Caenorhabditis elegans: one gene and its partner. The protein of the gene in region 1 interacts with the protein of each later gene in a pairwise test. Each region holds a gene or a part of one and is shown on either strand. Other genes may lie near its edges. The genes, in order: F46G10.1 and slfl-5.

Evidence for each region.
Region 2: the proteins of F46G10.1 (region 1) and slfl-5 interact in a two-hybrid assay, tested with the Caenorhabditis elegans proteins (2 studies listed by BioGRID).

Annotation. Positions count from the first base shown.
Region 1 is NC_003284.9:13,309,621-13,313,675, forward strand, and holds F46G10.1 (BTB domain-containing protein), read right to left. Parts: upstream 2,136-4,055; 5' UTR 2,107-2,135; coding exon 2,035-2,106; intron 1,955-2,034; coding exon 1,896-1,954; intron 1,852-1,895; exon of another isoform or gene 1,845-1,851; coding exon 1,733-1,844; intron 1,511-1,732; coding exon 1,385-1,510; intron 848-1,384; coding exon 680-847; 3' UTR 607-679; downstream 1-606.
Region 2 is NC_003283.11:12,241,151-12,246,619, forward strand, and holds slfl-5 (Tr-type G domain-containing protein), read right to left. Parts: upstream 3,895-5,469; 5' UTR 3,881-3,894; coding exon of another isoform or gene 3,851-3,880; 5' UTR 3,799-3,850; coding exon 3,737-3,798; intron 3,559-3,736; coding exon 3,159-3,558; intron 3,111-3,158; coding exon 2,880-3,110; intron 2,387-2,879; coding exon 1,631-2,386; intron 1,566-1,630; coding exon 1,451-1,565; intron 1,383-1,450; coding exon 1,180-1,382; 3' UTR 821-1,179; downstream 1-820. Other genes in the region: ttr-22 (Transthyretin-like family protein), read left to right, coding at 280-448, 497-762; rad-50 (Zinc-hook domain-containing protein), read left to right, coding at 4,496-4,506, 5,435-5,469.

The DNA of each region.
Region 1 (4,055 bases):
TTGTTACTTTTTTAAGTCTGCACAAAACAAGTAAATAGATCTATTTTAACTGCAGGCAAAAAATAAACAGTACACGAAAACATCTGTATTAGTTTTCAGTTGCAACTGCAGCGACGCAGGCTTCAAGACACAAAAAATTGCTCAGAAACAATGCTAATTAAGAGCGCAAGACTAATTTATGCGAGGAAACTAACTTTCGAGAGAGATTCAGGACAACCAATAAAGTCCCCCCCCCCAATCAAAAATATTAAACGAAATATTTTTCTCCACATTGCTGATTTAGAGCAATTTTCCGAGTTGTATCTTTTATCAGTTTTGACTTGGTTTTCAGAAATCTGTAAAAGATTGAATATAATTTAGTTTTTGAAAATCGATATTTTCTATAGTTTTTTATGGCTAATGTAATTGAAGTTTAGTAAGACGTTTTGATTTTCGATAACTCGATTCTACCGATTTTTCTTAATTTAAAAGTGTTCAGAATTTTAAGCACATCTTTTTGGTTTCAAATGTTCTCACAAGGATCACTAAAAATAATTTGAATATGATTACTCCATCCCCCAAGTCAATTTTCAACGAACACCAAATTCAACAAGTTCGTTCAGAAGTACACACAATTTTGCACTTTATTTCCGTTATTTCATGGTCATTAACAAAGTTATTCAGAAAGAGGAAGTAAACTTCAAATGCGTCCTCCATTATTGTAGTACGTGTTGTTCGCAATTTGGTTCACCGAATTGCGAATATCCACAATATCATTGGTGTTGGCACGTTGTTCCTTTTCAATGTCAACAAGTGTCTCTTGAATTAGGTACTTGAATACCTCCATGCCAAAGAAGTCTGCTTCTCGCTGGAAAAAATAAGGGAAGTTTATATGTATTGTCAATTCATACATCATTGGAGTTATTTTCAAATTAAAAGTTGTGATTGTTTTCAATAAATTGATTTGGTGTTTCAAGATTCATTTAATATACACACTTATGTATGCTACACATTTTTTGCATAAATCTCATAGTTTCTATTTTTTATGATTGTTGACATAGTTGACATTAGTGTTAATCTTGTATTTGTTGGTTTTTTTTCCATATTGCACTTTGAATTAATTTTTGAATGATATTTCCTGGAAAAAACAATTTTTCAAAACATATTGTTTTTCCTTAACAATATCATAAAATAGTAACTGCACATGACTAAATTGTATAACTTAATTTTCTCTACCCATGCCAATTGATTAGGTATACCAATATTCGTGACACACAATCGCCAACACATAAATACCCATAAAACACAAGGCACACCTCGGTGTACCTCTAGTAAACAAGCAACTGTGCTTATCAATGACAACGCATGGTTAAGAAGGCGATGAAATTAAACATGAAACACCTACTTTGAGCTGTGCTAACACGTCTTTATCTTTTGGCAGGACAGTGTTCTTTCCGTCTCTCATAAATTGCAGAACGAATGCAAACAGACGCCCGTCCCGGTTCACGAAGATTGCTCCTGACTCATCACGCTGAAATTTGTATTGAAATTTTTTTAGAGAGAGCTATGAGGATTAAAAGCATTCTCTTGAAATTCAGAAAAATAATTCTGAAAAAAGCACAAGTAAAAATTGTTGGAAGTTTTTTCAGTAGGATTTAGGCTTTCAGCTAGCTTCTAGATAACCTAATAGTCTCCAATTAAAAAATTCTGCATCCTCATTAGTATGTATATTTATTTCTAGATTGTCACCCACAATAGTTCTCTGTTGAAGAAGCACAATTTTTCCACTGGTGCGGTCGATGCGGATAAAGTTGAGGAAATATGACGACTTTGACTGTGCCAAAGTGTCGTAAAGTGTAGTAAATCTGAAGCCTTCGTTAAATTCTCAGATCTCATGTTCTCAATTCCCAACTAACCTTGTGCCGCCTGCGTTAATATGCACTATGTCTCGAGCATGATGAGATGTGACTTCAGCCTAAACATAGTTTTATAATACTCCAATTTTCTCATTAGCTGTACAATTTATTAGAAAATTGAATCAATTTCAAGACCCACCTTTTTATAATCAGCATACTCAGCGGTATGCATATCCACACCATTTGAATGAAGAGAAGCTCTAGCTAGCATTATTAGTCAAACCTGCGTGTCCTGTGAAAAACGCGAGCAAGTGAAAATCGAGGTAATAAAACTCAATGGTCGGTTGTGTTATCAGTGACGTTAGGAAAATTTTTGAATTCACCTTGTGTCAATAAGAAGATACCATCCCATTTTCAGATTGGCAACACGTGTGATTCAACACTTTTGAAACATATAAAGGTACCTATTTTCGAAAAAAAAATCTTATTCGTGTTTAGAAAAAGTATATTGTTATCACTCAATAATAACCATTTATAATTGATCTAAAATTTAAATGAAAAAGTGAATAATATTAAAAGCGTGGCAAAATTTGAATAGTTTTTTTTGAAGCTCGCTCTGAAAAATGCCAAAAAAAACAGGCAAAGAAATATGATCAAGAGTGCCAATTTTACGAATTTGGACAAACCGTAAATATGTCAATGTAATTTTGAAACACGTGTTATTCAGGAAACCGCCAACCAATCACCGAAGTATGTCGTCTCCTTTACGTAACGCTGATTGGTCAGTGCCGTCGCATGATTTGCGTATAATTTCAAAATTTAATTGAAGTATTCATTCACCACTTGACTACTCTCAAAATAACACAACCTTTCATTTTTTGAATAGTAATTTTTGCACTTGTATGCTTATTCTAACTGGCGCCATTCTGTTTTTAAAGTTTTGTTTTTTTCACAGTTTTTGAACAAGCGGTAGGAAAAAAATCGACAGTTGCCGGTTTTCGTGCCAACAGCTCAGTCTGCTATGTATGTTCACTGAAAAAAAATTTATCCTGCAATTTCAGAACTACGAAAGTTGTTCAGGAGTAGCTTGCAGCTCAATGACGATAACAAGATGTTCCAGATCATAAAGTCAAATGAAAGTCAATTATAATTGATATTTCACTGGCAATTATTTTGTTTTTTTTTTGTTATTTTCTTCACAATATGTGCGGCTGCAGCACTATCAAATTATGTTTTATACCGCCGTAAAACTTTTCTGGCCGAAAATCTAATCTCGAAAATAATTTTTTATTTGCAAAAATGTCACTTGTTTAATCTCGCACGAGAAGTGCGAATAACTAATTTCACGTTTTCATGAGTTATTTTCTTGATTAAAACAAGGCTGCTAAATTGAAACAACAAAAATAAAAGTTACCGTACACCAAACGAAACAATATGAGATTTTGATTGGCATTTTCATGTTTTTCAAAAATAATATTTGATTTCGAAATTATGTTTAAAGGAGGACTAACGGTTCGGACGATTTTGAACGTATAAGCCAAAAATGGGCCCAAATGAACGAATTTCGTAATGAAACTGCTCAAACAATTTTCATAAATTTTTTATGGCGGTTCAAAATTTCGAAAAAATGACGCTGATTTTAGCTAAAATCTCTAATTTTGCCCATTTTTCCGTGTCACATCTGTCCGAAATTGCTTTTTTGGAATTATCACCCTTTATTGCATATATTGGTAGTTTATCTCATTTAATTTCCTTGATTAAGGTACATTTAAAGCCGATAGCTAACCAATTTTGATGATTTTTGCAATAAAGGATGATAAAAGCAATTTCGGACAGATGTGACACGGAAAAATGGGCAAAATTCGAGATTTTGGCTAAAATCAGTGTCATTTTTTCGAAATTTTGAACCGCCATAAAACATTTTTGAAAATTTTTTGAGCAATTTCATTACAAAATTCGTTCATTTGGGCCCATTTTGGGTCGATACGTTCAAAATCGTCCGAACCGTTAGTCCTCCTTTAACTGCCTGAACAATTTGTTAAAATTTTAGAGTGACATTTATATTTAAAAAAACAGAAGAAACTATAATTTTTGTTTATTATGAAAAACACTTTTTAGGATATGAGTGCGTTTTTTTTTTCTGAAAGAAGCCATTTCAAAAACCGAAACTAAAACGATAATTAACTTACTTCAGTGTCCATTCGCCTTTTACTTTTTGTT
Region 2 (5,469 bases), on another chromosome or scaffold:
ATATAGTGATTTTAAAAGTTTTTACTATTGGCGTTTCACCAAATTTAAAATGGACTTTTAGTCGTTGAACAAAGTTGATATTTACAATAGAATTATCTAAAAAGAACCAATTATATCCTTTGTCGTTGATCTATGATTTCATTTTAAGTGACAATTATTGAGTCAGTGAGCAAAGTAACAATTTGTAACGACTATATTTACTCGAACTGTGTTTCTATTTACTTCTTGTAGACAGTATATAAATGTCTTACAAGAATCACTCTGAATTTTGTGTTCACAATGTTTTCAATTACATATATTGCTCTTTCTGTTTTCTTTTTGATTCATTGCTCCGATGCTTTACTCAATGTTATCGGAAGCACTCAAAGTGTTACTGTAACGGGAAAATTGGTTTGTGAAGGACAGCCAGCCAGTGGAGTTCTCGTGAAGATGTATGACGATGGAACGAGTAAGTTATTATTTGGAAGAACTGTTTTGAAACAATTGATTTTTTCAGTATATGACTCGAAATTAGGTTCGACGACCACCTCATCTGATGGAACATTTTCTGTTTCTGGAACATATACAGATATTTTAACATTGGATCCAAAAGTGAATATATATCATAGTTGTAATTACAATGGACCATGTTCAAAGAAAGTGACAATCAATATTCCTGATTATGCAGTTGCATCTGGAAGTAGCTCGACTGATAATTATGATATTGGAACTTTGAACTTAGCTAATCAGTTCAGTGGAGAAACCACTGATTGTATCCATTGAATGTGTACTTCCTAATAAATTTGTTTCTAGAATAATTGAAATGGGACATCTAGGAAGAGTGAATTCAGTTCATTTTTAAAATTGTAACTAAAAAAGCAGTAGCGCAAAAAATGCTACAAAAAATGAATAGAATGAGTGGGGGCACCTGGAAGAAGAGAAAAAAGAGGATCTAGAGTATTTTTGGAGACAAAAAGGTTCACTTAGTGAACAAATATTCAGAATTGTACAATTTCAACTATGTACAACTATTATCAACCCGGAGCAAAATGTAAACACACGGGTACCTAGGAGGAGAGGGCAAAGAGAGAGAGAGTGAAAAAAGACTACAAAAAAGAGGTCTACACAAAATATACAAGATAATTGGGAGGGGGGGGGGGGGGTGGCAGTAAAATTTAGAGATTTTCAGACTAACAATTATCATTGGGTGCACGGAAATACTTTTAATACTTCTCCCATTCCTTTGGTTTTTCCTTGACGAAGAATAATTGGTGATCCTTCACGAATGACTTCTGGTTGATAGGCGAAACACATTTTAACTACAGCCCATTTTCCTGGACGGATGCAGTCTGCATCGTCGATGTGAGTAATAATGGCAGTTGTACAGACACTTCCGATAAACACTGAAAAAGTTCATAAATTATTTCAGAAAAAATCAAAACTGAAAGTTGAAATGAGAAAAAGTACTCACCTGTGGCTTGAAATCCTTCGCATATGTATTTCGTCGAGTGACACAGCAGTAAAAGATTGGCAGTGAATTCGTAACAAACTGGTGGTTGATGATCGATTTCAGCAAGAACCATTCCCTTTAATGAAAATAATCAATATGTTTCACATTTCGAATGATTTTTCTGTGGAAAAAAATACTTACCCTTCTTAGACTGACACCGTCTGGAAGATTCAAGGATATCGATGCAGCTTCACCAGGATTAACACATCCTACGGCTTGCCGGCTTCTTCGAATCGACCCGACAGTAATTTTTTCAAAAGTTCCATCTTTCATGGGTCCAACAAGAACATCTGCTCCTTCATGCAATTGTCCTTCAGATAGCATTCCTCCAACTACTTGTCCAACATGAGGCACATTATATAGTTCCTCGATTGTGAAAAAGGCTGGGAGTCCAACTAGTTGAATACGTGACTCTGCAGTTCCAGCTGTAGAAAGGCAATTGAGAAGTGTTCTGAGACAACGAAAACCTTCTCCGCTCACTGAACTAACAGCAAGAACTGGTACGATACTACCAACGCAGAGTTCTTGTGCCGCCTTCACTGCGTCTCTTTTAGTTTTCACTCTTTTCTCGCGAGCTGTCATCCCTGCTTTCGCAACAAGATTGGAAACATCTTTGATGATTTTCTTAAGTCCTTGTCGATCGACTAGATCCATTTTTGTGATCAGTACAAACATTGGAATGTTTAAAGCGGCAATTAATCCAAGATGTTCACGAGTGGCCCACGTGATTCCTCGATCGGCGGCTACAACAAGGCAAGCGAAATGAGGAGTGTATCCGGTTAATCCATGAATTGTCGTTTTCTGATATTTTGCGTCTCCAGCCAGATCGATAAGTGTTACAAGTTTTGAAGACTTCTCCACCATTTCTTCGAGACTATTTTGTGCATAATTGACTAGCTGAAAAAAGTAAAAATTAGATATTTATAAATAAATTTAAAAAAATCGAATTTAAGTTTTTCAAATAAAATTTTTCTAAATTCATTGTTTTTGTATTCAAAAGTGGAGTAGAATCATTTTGAAATTTTGTTTTGAATGAAAAAAAAATTGACCGTAATAATCGATTTTAATTGATTTTAAAAGTTATAAAATCTTTCTAACTTTTTAAATTTTTATTTTTGATAATTGGGCGGGAATTCAAAAACAGATTTTTATTTTTTTATTTTTGCAAAATTGAAAAAATTATAAAAATTTTATGATTTTTTGAAACAATTATATTCGGTATTACCGTCCATTTTTTTAATTATTTAAATCAAAAACCCTAATAAATAGGATCCAACTTTAAAATTTTCAATAAAGAAATTATCTACAATTTAATCAGTTTACTGTTTTTTTTTTTAAATATTTTCAAGCATATTTTAACCCATTCTGAATGTTTCGAAAAATTTCTAACCTTTCCACGATTATCGAAGCCAATGACATCATTACAGACAGAACTGGTTTTTCCTGTTCGCACTTCGTGTGGAAATCTGAATATTCCAATTCTTGCTTTTCCGTTTCCGTCGTCCAGACAACCCTGTGTTAACACTCCACACAGTGTTGATTTTCCGACATCGCATCCTCCAACGACAGCAAGACGAACTTCGATGAATTGCTGGCTTTCAGGAACCTTTCGGACAAGTACCTAGAAAAATAATTTCATTTAGATAAAATATGACTCAATAATAATTACCTCGACTACAGTTCTCCGTGAATTTGATCCCTTAACAGTAACGTCTTTCTCGGTCAAAATAACCATACTCGCCCCAAGAGCTTGGGCCATCGTTCTCAAGGTCCGAAGTGAATCATTCAGTTCCTCGTCTGTTAATCCAGACATTATTCCACCATCCTCAACGCCAATTTCATAAATAGCCTCTCCTTGACCCTCACGAAGACGCCATTTCATTTGAGTGATCAGATGTTGTATACGAGATGTCGTTGGATTTACTAATTTTGCTTTGTACTCAATATTTCCAAGCTCCGTTTCAGGTGGCAATCGGTTTTCGGTGTCGGAGTCGGAACATTCATCGTTAGTTGGCAGTGAAGAGCTGAGAAGTGTTGGTCCATTTTTAGAGTCCGATATTGATTGTCGTCTGTAAAAAATAATATAATATACTACCTTAAATGATTTGGCGACATTAAATAAATTGAATTGATTTTATATCAATGTTTTAGAATTGATTTATTTTTTATAAGGAATTTAAATAAATGAATTTTGATTTTAGAAATAAAATTTTCAAATGTTAACCACACAATATTTATCGTACTCACCTAGTTTTGTAAAGTGGCTGATGATTCTGCTCATCGCAGAAATGTGAAATCATAAAATCCATAGTGAGATTGAGTTGTTTATTATTTTATGAAATGAGATAATCAGTTGGATAACTACTGCTCACGCCGTATTCGATCTATCATTCGATTCTCCGATTCTGGAACATCAAATTTTAATCATAGGGAGAGAGGTTCGGGTACTTGAGAAAAAAATGTCGTGTTTCGAGAGGTTTTGAAAAGTCAGTTGTTAACTGGTTCGGTCAACATGTAGAGATTGTAGAGAAATATGAGAACTTAGAGAATTGACGTATGAAGAGAAAAAAGTGGGAAAGGGGAGCCGCTGTTGTTTTCGAAAGAAGAAAATAAGACAGAAAAAATCGGAGAGGAACATAACAACAAGTTAAGTTGACTTTTGAACTGGAAATTTGTCAATATTGAAAAAAGGAACAGTGAGAAATATCGATTTCCACGTCGCTCGATTCTATGAAAAGAAATTATGCACACACAAGCTTCACAGTGAGCATGCTGAATGATTGAGCAAATACATGAGAGAATAAGAGAGGAATGAGATGAAAAGAAGCGTTCAAATCAAAAGAAACCAGACAAAATGGCGATTTTTTACGGGAATATGAACCTACTGATTGGCAGTGGACAGCTGGAAGAATAAGAAGATACTGAAGGAAGGTTGAAGTTGAAGCTTGGAAGACAGATGATGAGAGAGAGGAAAACCTGTTTCTTTTTGATTACGATCGGACGGAAATGAGAAGGAAGTAAGTGTTTTCACACGTAGGTGGGCATTGAGATCTTTGAAGGTGCATTCGACAGGTTAATAATCATTCTAAATACCAGGTGACAATGGAGGATACTTTTAAACAGTAAATATATTGGAATAAAACATAAAAGTTAGTCTTACTCAGAATTTCTAAAATTTCAGCCTTCTGGAACGAAAGGTAAAATCATAATAATAATACAAGTGGGGCTGTTAGTAGCCCTAAATACAAGTAAAATGACCGAACACAGCCGTTAAAGAATGTTGCAGAAAATTGCGAAATATTTCCTTACTCTTAAGAACAACATTCGATGTGACGCAATATGATGCATTTCCTTAGACAAAAACGTTCAGTTCAAAATAAACAACAATAAAACCGTTTGTACGATTTCTAGAATACGAGTTTATCAGTTGTTCGGAAAATATCTTATCAATCGTTTGACTGATGTTTTTTAACCATGTGAGAATTTGAAAAAAAATTTCATGATTGCCAAAAATTAAAATAAACAGGAAGCTTTTACCGAGTTTTCGTGATTTTCAGAATGAAGAAATTAATATGAAGCTCAAAATCAAAAGCAGAGGGAAAAGAAAAAATCGAAATCTTCTTTCGGTTAAACAACACGCGCTTGCGGAACTTCGGAGCATCGTATTTTGTTTTTGCGCTCTATTTTTGAATCGGAAACTGTTTTTTTGTCAGTTTTCGAAATTGTTTTTTTTCTGTTTTTTTACTTCATGCAAGAGTTTAACTTTACGCAAAAATTAATTAAAAATACGCAGAAGGCCCACTTTACACAGGAATTAATTGAAAATACTCAGGAATTTCACTTTACTTAGTCCTTTTTCCAGAGTTTCCAACGGAATCAATATATTAATTTAATTTCGCAACATTTTTCTTTGAATAAACCTATTTGCAAATGAGAATGTTTCAGATATTTGCTTATCGAAGCCTGGGAATTGCTTATGG